4 linked regions of the Saccharomyces cerevisiae S288C genome follow. The main gene of each other region encodes a partner of the protein of the gene in region 2 in a complex. Each region holds a gene or a part of one and is shown on either strand. Other genes may lie near its edges. The genes, in order: QCR8, COR1, QCR2 and RIP1. A codon is read from its position in the direction of its gene.

Region 1 (2,331 bases), on a different chromosome or scaffold from region 2:
TCTGGTAGATTGTTGGAGTTGTGGTATTGTTTACTGTACAATGGTCATGGGACAGTATCTTTGGAAAATCGCCATTCCTGAAAAGGATTCTCTTTTTAAATCATTTCTCAGTGAAATTAAAGATGATGGACAGTTTTATCTATTTGAGGAATTAAGACATGTTAGTAGCGAACTGAATAGGTTGAGGAAAATTGCACTATATAGAACGTTCCAGGTCGACCCCACGAAGAGAATCACCATTGAACAATTACTACAAAGCTCCTGGATGAGGAAAACAAAATGCTGTGTAGTTTATAGACACTTACATACCAAGGTTAGTAAATAAAGATATACAAAACAAAAAATGCTTAAGTATTTATTATTACTGATACTGTAAGTAAATAAATAGACTGACTGAATAAATATATGGGGGTTATTTGCTCTTGTTTTATAAACAGAATATATATGTAAGTTTTTAGAAGATCAAAAGATCGATGTAATGTAGAGGCATGGAAACAATATTAAACATTAACTCTTTCCAGCTCTTCTCTACCAGCTTTGCTGTACAGAAATTCATTATACTCGTTACCGTTCTTCCACCAGTACCAATAAATTCCCGCAGGTATTAATACATATAGAAATTGAGACTTAAATCTTCTAAAACTATTGAATACAGCGTTATGGAAAATACCTTGTAATGGCTTTTGAGCATATGGAGACACAGCATATGAGGTTATACCTTTTTGCTTTGGACCACCCATGTGACCCCACCATCCCATGTAAGTTTTACCGCTTGGAGGACCCATTATCGTAGAAGTTTTTGTGTAGTGTTTTGTTGATTATTTGTATTTAACGTACGACAACTTACTCTTAATCGGACTTGCTCAAGTAAACAATGTTCGAGAGATGAGGTCGTTGCTTTTCCTATTATTATATGAATAAAATTTGGGGGGTGGCTCAAGTTTCCTTCTCGTACTACCCGTAATTTCCGATCACGCATTTCTTCATTTTCATTGGCTTAAAAAAAATCCTTGGACTAGTCACGTGGAACGGTAGATCGAGAGATACTATCTTAAAGCTTATACTATATTATATTGGAAGTATATAGTTCTTATACATGGTCCTTATCTAGTTTGAAATCTAATGTTTTATCGATTAGCGTTAGTTCTATTTGCTTCTCTTGTAAACTTTGTTCAAGAACGCAGTTAAGACATCAGCTTTGAAGCCACGAGACTCATCGACCTGAGAAATTTTGGCCTTCAAATCCTTGGCAATAGACTCTTCATATTCGTGGTATAGCTGTTCAATTTTCAAGTCATTGAAAATCTTTTTGCATTTGGCTTCTGCGACTGAGTCCTTCTTACCGTAATTTTCGTCTAAAGTCTTTCTTTGTTCTGCGGAAGCAAGTTCCAATGCCTTGTTGATTACCCAAGAACATTTGTTATCTTGGATATCTGTACCGATCTTACCGATCTGTTCTGGGGTACCGAAGCAGTCTAAGTAGTCATCTTGAATTTGGAAGTATTCACCCAATGGAATCAAGACATCTCTGGCTTGTTTCAAATCCTTTTCATCCGTGATACCGGCAACGTACATGGCCAATGCGACAGGCAAGTAGAAAGAATAGTAAGCAGTCTTGAAAGTAACTATGAAGGAGTGCTTCTTTAGGGAGAACTTACTCAAGTCGACTTTGTCTTCAGGTGCAGTGATTAAGTCCATCAATTGGCCCAATTCGGTTTGGAAGGTGACCTCATGGAACAATTCGGTGATATCTATGTAGTATTTTTCGTTTCTGAAGTGAGATTTCAAAAGCTTGTAGATAGCAGCCTCTAACATGAATGCGTCATTGATGGCAATTTCCCCAACTTCAGGAACCTTGTACCAACATGGTTGGCCTCTTCTGGTAATGGACTTGTCCATCATATCATCGGCGACCAAGAAGTAAGCCTGCAACAACTCAATGCACCAACCTAGAATGGCAACCTTTTCGTATTCTTCTTGCCCCAATTGTTCAACGGTCTTGTTGGAGAGAATAGCATACGTGTCCACAACGGACAAACCTCTATTTAGCTTACCGCCTGGAGTGTTGTAGTTCAATGAGTGGGCATACCAGTCACATGCTTCCTTAGGCATACCGTAAGCCAAAAGCGATGCGTTCAATTCCTCTACTAATTTAGGGAAAACGTTCAAGAATCTCTCTCTCCTAATTTCTTTTTCTGAAGCCATTTCTACGTAATATTTTTGAGTTTATTGTGCCTATGTCAGTCCAATACCTGTTGGTTGAGTTTTTAAAGTTAAAATGAAAACTGATAGAAGAACAATCTATCATAAAGTATTAGTTTCGACATGCGT
Region 2 (4,241 bases):
TTGAATTCGTAGTTTTATTGCGCAAAGTACCATATTAAAACTTTACTTTTCGCCTATGCAATAATCTTGTACATATTGAGTTATCGTGGTAAAATAAAAAACCTGTGCCGAACGCCGTTTTGGAGCATGGTATAGAGTTGAAAATGACTAATAAAAGGAACCGTTAATTTACCCATATACTGGGCGAAAACAAAAGGTTCTTTTTTTTTTTTTTTTTTTTTTTTATTTTATTTTATTTTAAACTAAAAACTTTATTTTGAACGTTATGAAGTAAGAATATATATATTTTGCGTTTGGTATTTAGACAAGTGGTGATGCACTAGTTAGTAATAATGATACAACAACAATGAGAAAAAAAAAATAGGATGCAGATGTGAATATGATAATGCAAAACGAAGTTGTGTTATTTCCTTCATTTTAATTTATGCTGTGATAGGACAAGAATGAAATCTCGTTAATGGTACGGAACCATCGTCGACATCGCTACTACTCTCGTTTTCGCTGTCATCTTCTTGTCCATTTACCCGCCGAGAGAGCACACGGAAGATTGGCGCTGAACTATGCAAACTCACAGCATCGAGCGTTTCAGTGTCCTGTTCTTCCTCTGTCGTAGAGGCAGTGGCGGGAAGAGCATTGTAGCGCGGCGTTGATTCGGCAAGTTCATCCGTCTGCTCGGAATGAGAGTTTGTGTGAGTCAAATATTGATAATTAGGTGCGGTGTGAAAACTAAAGTACATGTCAATTTTCTTGTTATAATCACCGCCAGAGTAATCGTACTCAAAATCATAGTCTTCATAATCATCATCGTCTTCACTGTCAGTAGAAGATAGAGTGTCAGCATCTGGATCTTCGTCACTAGAGTAAAAATCACAGTAATCTTCACTTTCTATCGTCTTTTCTGCATTTTCCTCCTTACCGACGTCATTTTTACTAGCATTAGCATTGGACAATTCGATATGTTCGATGGACAAGTTTTCAGGTCCTTTACTGAAAGGGTCTCCGGCAAGGGCGTTGGTTGCAGCATTATGAGTTTCCACATTTTCTGTAATCTTATCCAGCAAGTTTGCGTGCCCGACTAAAACTCTCAGGTTGTAGTCTTTGTTTTTAGTAGTCACGCTAACGCATTTTGCCAGCTTGGAGCGTACTTTGCTGGCCAAAATATATTGATCTTGAATCGATGGGGTTGTAGAGTTCATTATAATCGCAGTATGCGGAATTTTCTATGTGAGAAAAACAATAAATAATTGTGAAAAAACTTGGATGTATAGTGTAATACTATAAAAAATTTCTGCTGGTATGTAGCTGTCTTTTTATTTTTTCTTTGGTCATACAGGGCTGTAAGCAGAGAAAGTCGAACAAAGACGTAACACCAGAGAAAGAAACTTGAATGCTTTTGTTAGATATATATATATATATTTATACATATGCCTCTCGCTAGAGGATATATCGCCGCGGAGCGCAGCGAACTACATCCGAAAACATCACAAATAATGCATGGGCAACCGGATACATTGCATTTAGTTTTGCCTTTTTTTCCAATTGTCACAGCTTCCTCGAAGTTTCTGACCCGGTAAAACGTGCGAAATGCCTCTTCTAATGCCGAAACAAGGGAAACCCTTAAAGCTTCCGTGCAAGCTGACCATGCCGGTCCGCACTTCGGGTCTTGTCCGTCGCCCGTGATCCAATAGGATACAACTACAAATCTGGGGTAAAGTCCGACTTTCGGCCCGCCGTGCGTTACTGCATGTTACATCACTATGGTGGGGACGGAAAATCACAGATGAGTCAGCTTCGTGATTTCCTGTTTCGGTGATGCTTGCAGTATACTTCAAATACTTCGCTTTACTTGGCAACCTTTTTTTTTGCCTCTCTAGCATTTCACCCATACCCACCAGGGGGAAAAAGAAAAGAGAGATTTTAAAACCAGATATTCTTTTTCACGATTTACATAACCCGGACTGGGTAGGGTAACATGTATATGAACTTTAACTGTGACCCGGACAGCACGCTTTCTGCACCAATGAAATGCCAATAAATTAACAGTGTTTTTTGTCCTCCAGAAGTTCAAGGGCCCGCGCTGTCAGCTGCACCAAATAAAAACCAAACAAGAAAATTAAAGGCCTACAGCGCTCCCTAACCGATATTCCCCTACTCTCTTTCCCCGTCTTATTCGAGGAAAACAGCGTATAATAAAGCAATAGCTTTCACAGAAAAAATATTATATCATCCCTGTTCGTATAGGTAACGAATCCTAATATTAAATTGCTACCATTGCTGATCAAGACAATTGTGGAGTAATAATACGAGAAGAACATCATCGTCACCATATCACTGAGAAAGAAAACACAAGATATATAAACAAAAAAAATGCTAAGAACAGTAACTTCAAAGACTGTATCTAACCAGTTCAAGAGGTCTTTGGCTACAGCTGTAGCAACCCCCAAGGCCGAAGTAACGCAATTATCTAACGGTATAGTTGTAGCCACTGAGCATAATCCTTCCGCTCACACAGCCTCTGTCGGTGTTGTCTTCGGCTCCGGTGCTGCCAACGAAAACCCTTATAACAACGGGGTTTCCAATTTATGGAAGAACATCTTTCTATCCAAAGAAAACTCTGCTGTTGCCGCCAAGGAAGGTTTGGCATTGTCTTCCAATATCTCCAGAGACTTCCAATCTTACATTGTATCTTCTTTGCCAGGTTCTACCGATAAATCACTAGACTTCTTGAATCAGTCTTTCATCCAACAAAAGGCTAATTTGCTATCTTCTTCTAACTTCGAGGCCACGAAGAAATCTGTCTTGAAGCAAGTTCAAGATTTTGAAGAAAACGACCATCCCAACAGAGTTTTGGAACATTTACACTCCACCGCCTTCCAAAACACTCCATTATCTTTGCCTACTAGAGGTACTTTGGAGTCCTTGGAGAATTTAGTTGTTGCTGATCTGGAATCTTTTGCCAATAACCATTTCTTGAATTCAAATGCTGTTGTTGTTGGTACCGGTAATATCAAACATGAGGATTTAGTAAATTCCATCGAATCCAAAAACCTAAGTTTGCAAACCGGTACCAAGCCCGTACTCAAGAAAAAGGCCGCTTTCTTGGGTTCCGAAGTTAGATTGAGAGACGACACCTTGCCAAAGGCGTGGATTTCGCTGGCTGTGGAAGGTGAACCTGTCAATTCACCAAATTATTTTGTTGCTAAATTAGCCGCCCAAATTTTCGGCTCATACAACGCCTTCGAACCCGCTTCTAGATTACAAGGTATCAAATTGTTAGACAACATACAGGAGTACCAATTATGCGACAATTTCAATCATTTCTCTCTTTCTTACAAAGATTCCGGTTTATGGGGGTTCTCTACGGCCACGAGAAACGTTACCATGATTGACGACCTCATCCATTTCACTTTGAAACAATGGAACAGATTGACCATTTCTGTCACTGATACTGAAGTTGAACGTGCCAAATCGCTGTTGAAATTACAATTAGGGCAGTTATACGAATCTGGTAATCCCGTCAATGACGCTAACTTGTTAGGCGCAGAAGTCCTAATCAAGGGCTCCAAACTGTCTCTGGGTGAGGCTTTCAAGAAAATTGATGCAATCACAGTCAAAGATGTTAAGGCTTGGGCCGGTAAGAGATTATGGGACCAAGATATTGCTATTGCTGGTACAGGCCAAATTGAAGGGTTATTAGATTACATGAGAATCAGAAGTGACATGTCCATGATGAGATGGTAAGATGTGTGATAATATATTTTCCATGCACATAAAATAGAAATAAGCAAGCTGCTAGATGTATACAGGCACGCTCGCACACTCACACCATAAATGAATTTTTTACATGTATTTTATATTCTAGTAACCCAAGTAGTCTTCATTATTTATTGGCAAGGTCACTGTTCCTTGCAAAAGTAGAAAATAAAAAAAGAAAAAAAAAGAAACTCGTAAGAAAACAAGATTAAATAAACGTCTTATTTTATATAAGTGTATATATATATATATATATATATGTGACCAAGATCCTGAAGAACTATCGATTTTAAAAATAAGAAAGATGAACTTTTTTTTGGTAAAACATATTTAATGATATTATGCAAATGGGAAGTTGTTGGTAGAGAAGTCATCTCTCGATCATCTGGACTTCTTGCCTAATGGACTGCTAATATTCTCACGGTAGGTAATACCAGCAATCGCAACCATCTTATCCTCTTGTGAAGAGCTCATCGATGGACTCACTA
Region 3 (3,985 bases), on a different chromosome or scaffold from region 2:
ATCTAAACAAAAAAACTGCCCTTGATGCTGATCTATCGGCTGTTCTTGGAACTTCCTGGATTTCCACAGAATTGTATCTAATTAAAGATGCTAATGTAGATCTTATATCCTTTTCCTTCATTAACGCAGTTGAGTTGATAATTTTCTCAGACACCAGCTTGTTATCACGAATACAACGGCTTAAACGCATTGCTGAGGGTCCCAACGTAGACGCGATAACATACTCATAAACAGATGACTTTAATACTGGCATTAGTTTGCTATATGGAACATAGTAAACACCTGGTTTGGTTTCGTTCAAAAAGGGGAAATTTGATGATGCTAGGATTTTTAAATGACTATTTATCAAAGAAGCTGAGTGAGGATCCTCAGTGTCTGCATCCAAATCCTCCTCCTCTTCGTCTTCTTCTTGTGTATCTCCACTTTCTTGAAGAGATTTGGAAACAGCAGCAGGTAGCGCCGGGATCACAAATCCATCTTCGGTTTTTAATTTTTTACTGGGTAATGATGCAGCAGCGTTTGAGCCAGAACGCTTTTTATTGTCAGAGGGCTTTCTAGATAATAAGCTTCCACGCAAGTCCAATTCTGCGGGGAGATGTCTTGCCAAGTCAATAGCATTAAAGGTAAGCCCTGGTGTCTTCTCCTCAACAAGTTCGGCTTCGTCTTGAAACGATTTTGCTTCCTCCAAATCTTGTAAAAGCCCAGTTTGAGTTAGTGGATCTCTAATTTTAGGAGACTTTTGCTCTGTGAGTCTTAATGCAATTTTGTAAACTTGAGCTGTGACGGAGCCGACTCTTGTCTTGGCCAAGTTAATCAATTGTTTAGATCTTCTACCTTTCATAAATCTATCCAAATTAATCGTCAGAGAGACTGTAGGTTTAACAATCCTCAATGAGGTCTTTGGATCAACCGTTAAGATTTGTGAAAGCTCATTTGGTTTATTTATGATTTTGGCAAAATCAGTTTTCGCATTCATCTTGGCTTGGGATCTTTTCTTCAAATCGGACAACGGGGAGTTTCTGGGAATATTTTTGTAATGTTTTTCATATAAAAATTGCCAGAGATCTTCGATTGGGGTATAATGCAATTTTGATATTTGAATAAGATATCCCATTTCACACAGTTGCACGAATAGTGATGAAATGGTGTACTTCATGGAATCTGACGTGACACTACTTAGATAATCTTCCACTGTTAAGGACCCTAATGATATAACGTTTTGTACAATTTCAGCCACCAGCTGTTTATGCTCCTCTTCGTCGTTTACACGCATTTGCGTAATAATTTCGTCAATAATCAACCCTGAGTAGAGTAAAATGTGTATCCCTTCCTCGTTATAGTAATAATAAGTCGTTTTTTTCCCGGATATTGCTGTTTCTTGCAGGTACTTAACACACCTTAATTGAGTTAATGAGACTAGTGTCGTCTTGACGCTGTCTACATCCATACCATCTATTTTCTCCACTAACTCGCGCACACTCAATCTGCCCAGCGCAACCAACATCCCAATTACAGAAGCTGCTCTTTCACCCAGATGTGCCTTCACCAACTCTTTGTAAAGAAACAAATCGGGATTCAAGGTTCTCTGTTCCAAGGATGATATGGTCATAACATCTTCGGGGGTGACCAACTTCTCAGATTCGACAGTGCTCTCACCTGTTTGGTTCTCTGCACTAAGCGCTTCTCCCAGTAACTCGTCCATTTGGATCTTGCTCAACAAAAATTTTTCCCTATTCCTGTGTCAGCAATTCTCTATTGTTCTCAATATTTCTTCCACTATTATTATTTTGATCCAAAATTATTTTTTTCCTTCAATGCGATGAGCTTTTGAAAAATTTCTGATCATTCCCAACGAACCAATAGAAGGCCCGCCCCGTCTTATATCCGTTAGCCTACCAAATATATATATAAAGAACAAGGGCCTTTCCTCAGAGCGTTTGCTGACGAAGTTTTAGAAGTTAATAAGGTTTTTAACAGCAGTGTGCTCGAACGATTAGGACGGGAGAGTTAAAATTATTAAAAGGAAAAAAGAAGAACGTTGATGTTGTCAGCAGCTAGATTGCAATTTGCCCAGGGGTCAGTTAGAAGGTTGACCGTTTCCGCTAGAGACGCACCTACTAAAATATCTACATTGGCTGTTAAGGTCCATGGAGGGTCTCGTTATGCAACCAAGGATGGTGTGGCCCATCTTTTAAACAGATTCAACTTTCAAAACACGAACACTAGATCAGCTTTGAAATTAGTCAGAGAATCCGAATTATTAGGGGGAACTTTTAAGTCTACCTTGGATAGGGAATACATCACTTTGAAAGCTACCTTTTTGAAGGACGACCTTCCCTACTACGTCAATGCCCTAGCAGACGTGCTATACAAGACTGCCTTCAAACCTCACGAGCTCACCGAATCTGTTTTGCCTGCTGCTAGATACGATTATGCGGTCGCTGAACAATGTCCGGTAAAGAGCGCCGAAGACCAATTGTATGCCATTACATTCAGAAAGGGTTTAGGAAACCCATTGTTATACGATGGTGTGGAAAGAGTCAGTTTGCAAGATATCAAGGACTTTGCGGACAAAGTCTATACCAAGGAGAACCTTGAAGTTAGCGGTGAAAATGTTGTTGAGGCCGATTTGAAAAGATTTGTTGACGAGTCACTGTTAAGCACTTTGCCTGCAGGTAAGTCATTGGTGAGTAAATCCGAACCAAAATTCTTTTTGGGTGAAGAAAACAGGGTAAGGTTTATCGGTGACTCCGTTGCCGCCATTGGTATCCCGGTAAACAAAGCCTCCCTAGCTCAATATGAAGTATTGGCCAACTATTTGACCTCTGCCCTATCCGAGCTTTCCGGTTTAATCAGCTCGGCTAAACTTGATAAATTCACTGACGGCGGCCTATTTACTCTGTTTGTAAGAGACCAGGACAGCGCCGTGGTATCTTCCAACATCAAGAAAATTGTTGCGGATTTGAAGAAGGGCAAGGACTTATCCCCTGCAATAAATTACACAAAGTTAAAGAATGCCGTCCAAAATGAATCTGTTTCCAGCCCAATTGAACTAAATTTTGACGCCGTGAAGGACTTTAAGTTGGGAAAATTCAACTATGTAGCCGTCGGTGATGTTTCCAACTTGCCATATTTGGACGAATTGTAAGAGGAAAGTATTTGTACAAAACGAAAAACTAAAGGCAAATATATATATAGATGTTGCCGCGCACCTTTTTTTTAATGAATATTCACACAAATATTGAAAATAAAAACAAACAAAATTCAAATAACAACATGTAAGACCAAAAAAAAATCCCTCATTATTTATTCCTTACCCTTTCCAAATTCTTACTATACTAGTAAATATATATTTAATTATCCTTTTTTCTACTTCAGCATACAATCCTTCTTTTGCCGCAGGTTTATAGTTAGACCCCTCAATTCTGTCAAGTTTCAGTGGTACGTTATTTTATGTCTCATCTCACGATCCTGGCAAAAAAAGAAAGGCATGTAATTTGAGGAGGCGATTCACCCTCATTTTTACGCAACAACAATGCTGTGTGGCTTACACGCCTCTGCGTACATATCTACATATTTAACGGTCCTGTATTTTCAAGCACGCAAGGCTGAAATAAACGGTTGTTTGCTTATGCGCGATGCACTCCGCCGAACATCACCGCAAAAGCACCGTAGGCGGAGATCTCCCAGCTAGTATGGGCATGACGGAACCACGATTTCCAGATATAGATACTTAAAAGCACTAAAAGGTCTATACATAAAACGCAGACTTACGTAAGATACATAGCAACTGCCGATATGGACGCCGCCATGCCGAATGACAAAGGGAGAATGTAGTACTAATTGATATCGTCTTATCCTCTCAGGAATGCAAACTTAAAACATACTTTCTCCCGTCCTAACAACGCCGGTTGTCGACGATAAATACCCCAAGAAATGCCCGCACAGAATCTCCTCCGTTAGGTGGTCATGCCCCGAGGGTGCG
Region 4 (3,649 bases), on a different chromosome or scaffold from region 2:
ATTTTCATACACCTAACCTCGGAAGATCTCGTTATGTACCCGAATATGTCAGTTTACATTGGTCAGTCTATTGGAGAATTAAGTTTGATCGTAGGTATAGACCGGACAATATGCCGGAATATGTAAGGCAATTGTTCCAAGATTTGGAAGGTATTGATTTAAAAAGTAATAAAGTTTCAAATAAATATGATAAGCAAGATAATAGCAACGGGAGTGAAATCAATGGGGGCTTTTTTGATAATGAGGAAGGGCAGGAACTCCACATGGGTCAAAAAGCAAGTTATTTTGCAACGACATACAATTCAAGATTATTTGACAGTAAATACTCCCAATTAAAAAAGAAATTCATGGACTGGGATAGTAATTCCTGGACAGATATTCCAGATGATTTAAAAATATACCTACAGCAAGATGAATCGCTTTAGCATTAAAAAAACCCCTTCGGTACGTAATATAAAAAATTTTATAGGTAATATACATATATAAAAATACTTCAATCATTTTTACAATCTTGTATACTTTATACAACATGTGAAATCTTCTGCTTCTGGACATCAATATTCAAATACAGGCCAATCTTAGGTAAAACATTTGGAGAAAAGAAGGATAAGGCAGGACGAGGGAAGATAAATAGTTTCGTTAATTATAAATACATGCAGATAAATAAAGGAATATCAAATATTATGAATAGAAAAAGAAGATGGTGAGACAAAAAAGTAGTAATAAATAGGTCCAAATCTTCTTTATTTCCCCTTTCTTTTCTTATCCTTTTGTTTTCTCCATATTGTATAAGAATATATTCTTAGGAAAATCAACAGGGAATACAGTATAGTGATTTTCGTTCCTTTTTGAGCGTAATCCCTTCGAGACTGTGATGTTGATTATTTTTGTTGTGATTTCAAAATTCTTAGGTTAGTTGTATAGTTCCCGTTCATAACATAATGGATAGTAAATGAAAAATCAAAATAAGGGTGAAACAAATAGACAATAAAGATGTAGTTTTCGAGGACGAAAAACAAACCTAACCAACAATGACCTTATCACCATCGAATTCATAAGCAGGAATTTCTAAGTTTAAGGGGGCAGGTCCCTTTCTGATTCTACCGGAAATATCATAATGTGAACCATGGCAAGGACAGAACCAACCACCAAAATCACCGGCTTCACCAATTGGAACACAACCTAAGTGAGTACAAATACCCAGCATAATTAACCATTGAGGGTCTTTGACTCTGTCAGCATCGGTCTGTGGGTCCTTCAAAGCGGACATATCCACACTGTTGGCTTCCTGAATTTCATGAGGAGTTCTGTGTCTAATGAACACAGGCTTACCTTGCCATTTGACAACCACGTTTTTACCCAATGGGATAGCCGCTAAATTAACTTCAACTTTAGCCATAGCCAAAACATCGGCAGTAGCGGTCATAGATGAAATAAAGGTTTCTACGGTTGATTTGGCACCTGCAGATGACAAAAGACCCATAGCACCGACCATAAAGTAAGCATAAGAACGGCCTTTATCAGCATCGTTATTTTCCTTTAAAACGTCATCAAAATTTGGGGTCCTGTACGTGGATTTGCTAGCCAGCAAAGATTGAGAAATCAGTCTTTTGGAAGTTAAAGACATTGGCTTGAAGCAGGTCTTGACAGATGATCTTATTCCTAACATGTTTGTTATTGCTCCTTTCGGTTTCCTAATAAGTGTTAGAGTGATATTATTTATGTTCAATAATTTCTTGGTTTTTAAAAGACGTTGAACTTGAAAGCAACAAAAAGTTACGACAGAGAAGTAATATATTACTTGATATTCAAGAACCAACTATAGTTCTTGCAGGTCTTTTTCCAGTCCTTATAAGGGAGCCTCCGCGTCGCCGCACGTGACCCAAGACCGATAAATGGCGCAAAACGCTGATTGGTCCGTTATGGAGTGTCTAAAAGGAAAAAGATGCGCTATGGACGAACCTGAAAGAGGCCAAATGATAGGGAAGCTTAGAGTGAAAGGTGGAACAGGAGAAGTTGAAAGGATGAAATACACAAGATGACAAGAAGGCTCGAATTAAAGGCGGCTAGTTATTTCAATTTAGGAAGCATTTGCTCTAAGAGTCGATGGGTCGTACTTCATGCACATTATATTACGCATGAATAGCCGCCCAAGCTATATGAACTTATTGGTGGATTTTTGAAACCAATAAAAAGGATTTATGAGAAAGAATAATCTTCCTCTGGGGTATTCATAGCTATCAACGTATGGTTACCTTGTCTTAGTCGGACACTGGACATAACTCTTACAATGGCTGTTAGCTTCTCAATTGACAATGGTATTTAATATACCAGGCGGTTAAAGAAAGGGTAGGTATTTTTTTCTACCTAGTTCAGTTTATATGGATGAGACAGGGATAGACGGGCATGTACGGAGTTTTTCGACTTGATCAGTGCAATCCACTGATTATCGTTTTATGTAGGTATTTTCTTGAGTTACAAAATTTTAGGGAAAGTATGGATACAACCAGAGAGCCGATGTGGTGTTTTTTTTGGTTTTTAGTACATGCAGTACGCTTCTTTTTCTATTTCCTGTATACTTCCTTTAAGCGTATTCGTCGTTATAGGTTCTATTTGCTTTCAACTGAACGCGCTTGCCTGAACGCCTAAAGCGGAAAGAAATACATGACTGAAAAACAGACATTCTGGTCGCAACTCAGCGAAAGGGAGGGTAGAAAAATATATTGTGTTATAATGTCAGCGTTAGCGCATTGCATATTGCACTAGCCATTGCCACGTAAAATGGCAAGACAAGATGAAACGGACTGCAAAAAATTGGATAGCAATTCGGCCTTTTTACCTTTATGCATAACATCTTATAGATCAAAAGATGAGGCTGAGAAGCTGGTAAGTTGTCTTCATCACGAAGGAAGTTACTTTTTATGTTTTAGCTATGGATTGTATACCGGAACGTCCAACGAATTGAAAGCGAAGGTTGAGTTCGCTTTAGATGGACCGTTCGTTGTTAACTACGCAACTGTACCGATGTTCATGTCAGCTTCCTTCTGTCACCTGCTAATGTTTAACGACGGTTCCATTAAGGGATTCAAATGCGAAAATAACAAATTTGAAATTATCTACGACTCTAATGTGGCTCCGAAACTGGATACTATTTCTTTATTAACTTCCAGCTGGTTAAATGCTTCCTTTGAGGGTGTTTTATACACTTGCAATAAAAACATATCATATGATAGTGATTTGCATACGTTATGTACGACAATTTACTCCTTTGACTTCAGAGAAGGAATAGTCGAAAGATTTTATGCCACCGATGGCGAAGAAATTATCTCCTTTGATTTTATTAGCAGGGAGGATTTGCTTGACGACGCCACATGCACAGGTAAATCACACGTTTATTTTCTTTGCCTACTTAAGAGTTGCTATAGTGAAAACCTGTTTTTAAAGGAATACAATCTTGCTGGAAAGCATGGAAGTAGGAAATTTGATTTAAACGAGTACCGCCAATACAATCTTTTGCCGATATGTGATAATGAATTTTGTTATATGAAGGTAGTTTGCGGCCATACCATTGTAGTGTTGACTACTAACTACACTCAAATAATAAATATAAAAGCAAGTGGGCTTACAAACGGGGCTTTTTTCAATAATA

What was found.
Region 1: the proteins of COR1 (region 2) and QCR8 are in contact, whole or in part, in a crystal structure (PDB 2IBZ), measured with the Saccharomyces cerevisiae proteins. Residues at the interface, in NP_009508.1 of Saccharomyces cerevisiae: Gln170 (codon at 2,875), Leu245 (codon at 3,100), Gly246 (codon at 3,103), Ser247 (codon at 3,106), Glu248 (codon at 3,109), Val249 (codon at 3,112), Arg250 (codon at 3,115), Leu251 (codon at 3,118), Arg252 (codon at 3,121), Asp253 (codon at 3,124), Asp254 (codon at 3,127), Thr255 (codon at 3,130), Val337 (codon at 3,376), Thr338 (codon at 3,379), Asp428 (codon at 3,649), Asp430 (codon at 3,655), Glu440 (codon at 3,685), Gly441 (codon at 3,688), Leu443 (codon at 3,694), Tyr445 (codon at 3,700), Met446 (codon at 3,703), Arg449 (codon at 3,712); in NP_012369.1 of Saccharomyces cerevisiae: Trp12 (codon at 752), Trp13 (codon at 749), Gly14 (codon at 746), His15 (codon at 743), Met16 (codon at 740), Pro19 (codon at 731), Lys20 (codon at 728), Gln21 (codon at 725), Lys22 (codon at 722), Gly23 (codon at 719), Ile24 (codon at 716), Thr25 (codon at 713), Ser26 (codon at 710), Tyr27 (codon at 707), Ala28 (codon at 704), Val29 (codon at 701), Ser30 (codon at 698), Pro31 (codon at 695), Tyr32 (codon at 692), Ala33 (codon at 689).
Region 3: the proteins of COR1 (region 2) and QCR2 are in contact, whole or in part, in a crystal structure (PDB 4PD4), measured with the Saccharomyces cerevisiae proteins. Residues at the interface, in NP_009508.1 of Saccharomyces cerevisiae: Ser45 (codon at 2,500), His47 (codon at 2,506), Thr48 (codon at 2,509), Lys80 (codon at 2,605), Ser83 (codon at 2,614), Ala84 (codon at 2,617), Ala87 (codon at 2,626), Lys88 (codon at 2,629), Glu89 (codon at 2,632), Gly90 (codon at 2,635), Leu91 (codon at 2,638), Ala92 (codon at 2,641), Ser107 (codon at 2,686), Ser108 (codon at 2,689), Leu109 (codon at 2,692), Phe291 (codon at 3,238), Glu292 (codon at 3,241), Pro293 (codon at 3,244), Ala294 (codon at 3,247), Leu297 (codon at 3,256), Gln298 (codon at 3,259), Gly299 (codon at 3,262), Thr361 (codon at 3,448), Arg365 (codon at 3,460), Ser368 (codon at 3,469), Leu369 (codon at 3,472), Lys371 (codon at 3,478), Leu372 (codon at 3,481), Gly375 (codon at 3,490), Gln376 (codon at 3,493); in NP_015517.1 of Saccharomyces cerevisiae: Arg22 (codon at 2,105), Ala24 (codon at 2,111), Thr26 (codon at 2,117), Lys27 (codon at 2,120), Ile28 (codon at 2,123), Arg53 (codon at 2,198), Gln57 (codon at 2,210), Ala64 (codon at 2,231), Leu65 (codon at 2,234), Val68 (codon at 2,243), Arg69 (codon at 2,246), Glu72 (codon at 2,255), Leu73 (codon at 2,258), Leu74 (codon at 2,261), Gly75 (codon at 2,264), Gly76 (codon at 2,267), Thr77 (codon at 2,270), Thr92 (codon at 2,315), Phe93 (codon at 2,318), Leu94 (codon at 2,321), Ser122 (codon at 2,405), Ala126 (codon at 2,417), Tyr129 (codon at 2,426), Ser262 (codon at 2,825), Ala263 (codon at 2,828), Leu264 (codon at 2,831), Ser265 (codon at 2,834), Ser268 (codon at 2,843), Gly269 (codon at 2,846), Pro316 (codon at 2,987).
Region 4: the proteins of COR1 (region 2) and RIP1 are in contact, whole or in part, in a cryo-EM structure (PDB 8YHQ), measured with the Saccharomyces cerevisiae proteins. Residues at the interface, in NP_009508.1 of Saccharomyces cerevisiae: Pro64 (codon at 2,557), Phe151 (codon at 2,818), Glu152 (codon at 2,821), Arg159 (codon at 2,842), Glu162 (codon at 2,851), His163 (codon at 2,854), Ser166 (codon at 2,863), Thr167 (codon at 2,866), Gln170 (codon at 2,875), Pro177 (codon at 2,896), Thr181 (codon at 2,908), Glu183 (codon at 2,914), Phe244 (codon at 3,097), Leu245 (codon at 3,100), Leu251 (codon at 3,118), Trp427 (codon at 3,646), Asp428 (codon at 3,649), Gln429 (codon at 3,652), Arg449 (codon at 3,712); in NP_010890.3 of Saccharomyces cerevisiae: Lys31 (codon at 1,579), Ser32 (codon at 1,576), Thr33 (codon at 1,573), Tyr34 (codon at 1,570), Arg35 (codon at 1,567), Thr36 (codon at 1,564), Phe39 (codon at 1,555), Leu43 (codon at 1,543), Asn47 (codon at 1,531), Ala49 (codon at 1,525), Arg53 (codon at 1,513), Tyr57 (codon at 1,501).

The regions. Positions count from the first base shown.
Region 1 is NC_001142.9:104,888-107,218, reverse strand, and holds QCR8 (ubiquinol--cytochrome-c reductase subunit 8), read right to left. Parts: upstream 786-2,331; coding exon 501-785; downstream 1-500. Other genes in the region: protein kinase HAL5, read left to right, coding at 1-325; ERG20 (bifunctional (2E,6E)-farnesyl diphosphate synthase/dimethylallyltranstransferase), read right to left, coding at 1,147-2,205. UniProt on the Saccharomyces cerevisiae protein: Component of the ubiquinol-cytochrome c oxidoreductase, a multisubunit transmembrane complex that is part of the mitochondrial electron transport chain which drives oxidative phosphorylation.
Region 2 is NC_001134.8:133,643-137,883, reverse strand, and holds COR1 (ubiquinol--cytochrome-c reductase subunit COR1), read left to right. Parts: upstream 1-2,367; coding exon 2,368-3,741; downstream 3,742-4,241. Other genes in the region: ECM13 (Ecm13p), read right to left, coding at 423-1,196; YBL044W (uncharacterized protein), read right to left, coding at 1,518-1,886; PSY4 (Psy4p), read right to left, coding at 4,135-4,241. UniProt on the Saccharomyces cerevisiae protein: Component of the ubiquinol-cytochrome c oxidoreductase, a multisubunit transmembrane complex that is part of the mitochondrial electron transport chain which drives oxidative phosphorylation.
Region 3 is NC_001148.4:917,340-921,324, forward strand, and holds QCR2 (ubiquinol--cytochrome-c reductase subunit 2), read left to right. Parts: upstream 1-2,041; coding exon 2,042-3,148; downstream 3,149-3,985. Other genes in the region: RPC82 (DNA-directed RNA polymerase III subunit C82), read right to left, coding at 1-1,702. UniProt on the Saccharomyces cerevisiae protein: Component of the ubiquinol-cytochrome c oxidoreductase, a multisubunit transmembrane complex that is part of the mitochondrial electron transport chain which drives oxidative phosphorylation.
Region 4 is NC_001137.3:105,280-108,928, reverse strand, and holds RIP1 (ubiquinol--cytochrome-c reductase catalytic subunit RIP1), read right to left. Parts: upstream 1,670-3,649; coding exon 1,022-1,669; downstream 1-1,021. Other genes in the region: YEL023C (uncharacterized protein), read left to right, coding at 1-425; YEL025C (uncharacterized protein), read left to right, coding at 2,782-3,649. UniProt on the Saccharomyces cerevisiae protein: Component of the ubiquinol-cytochrome c oxidoreductase, a multisubunit transmembrane complex that is part of the mitochondrial electron transport chain which drives oxidative phosphorylation.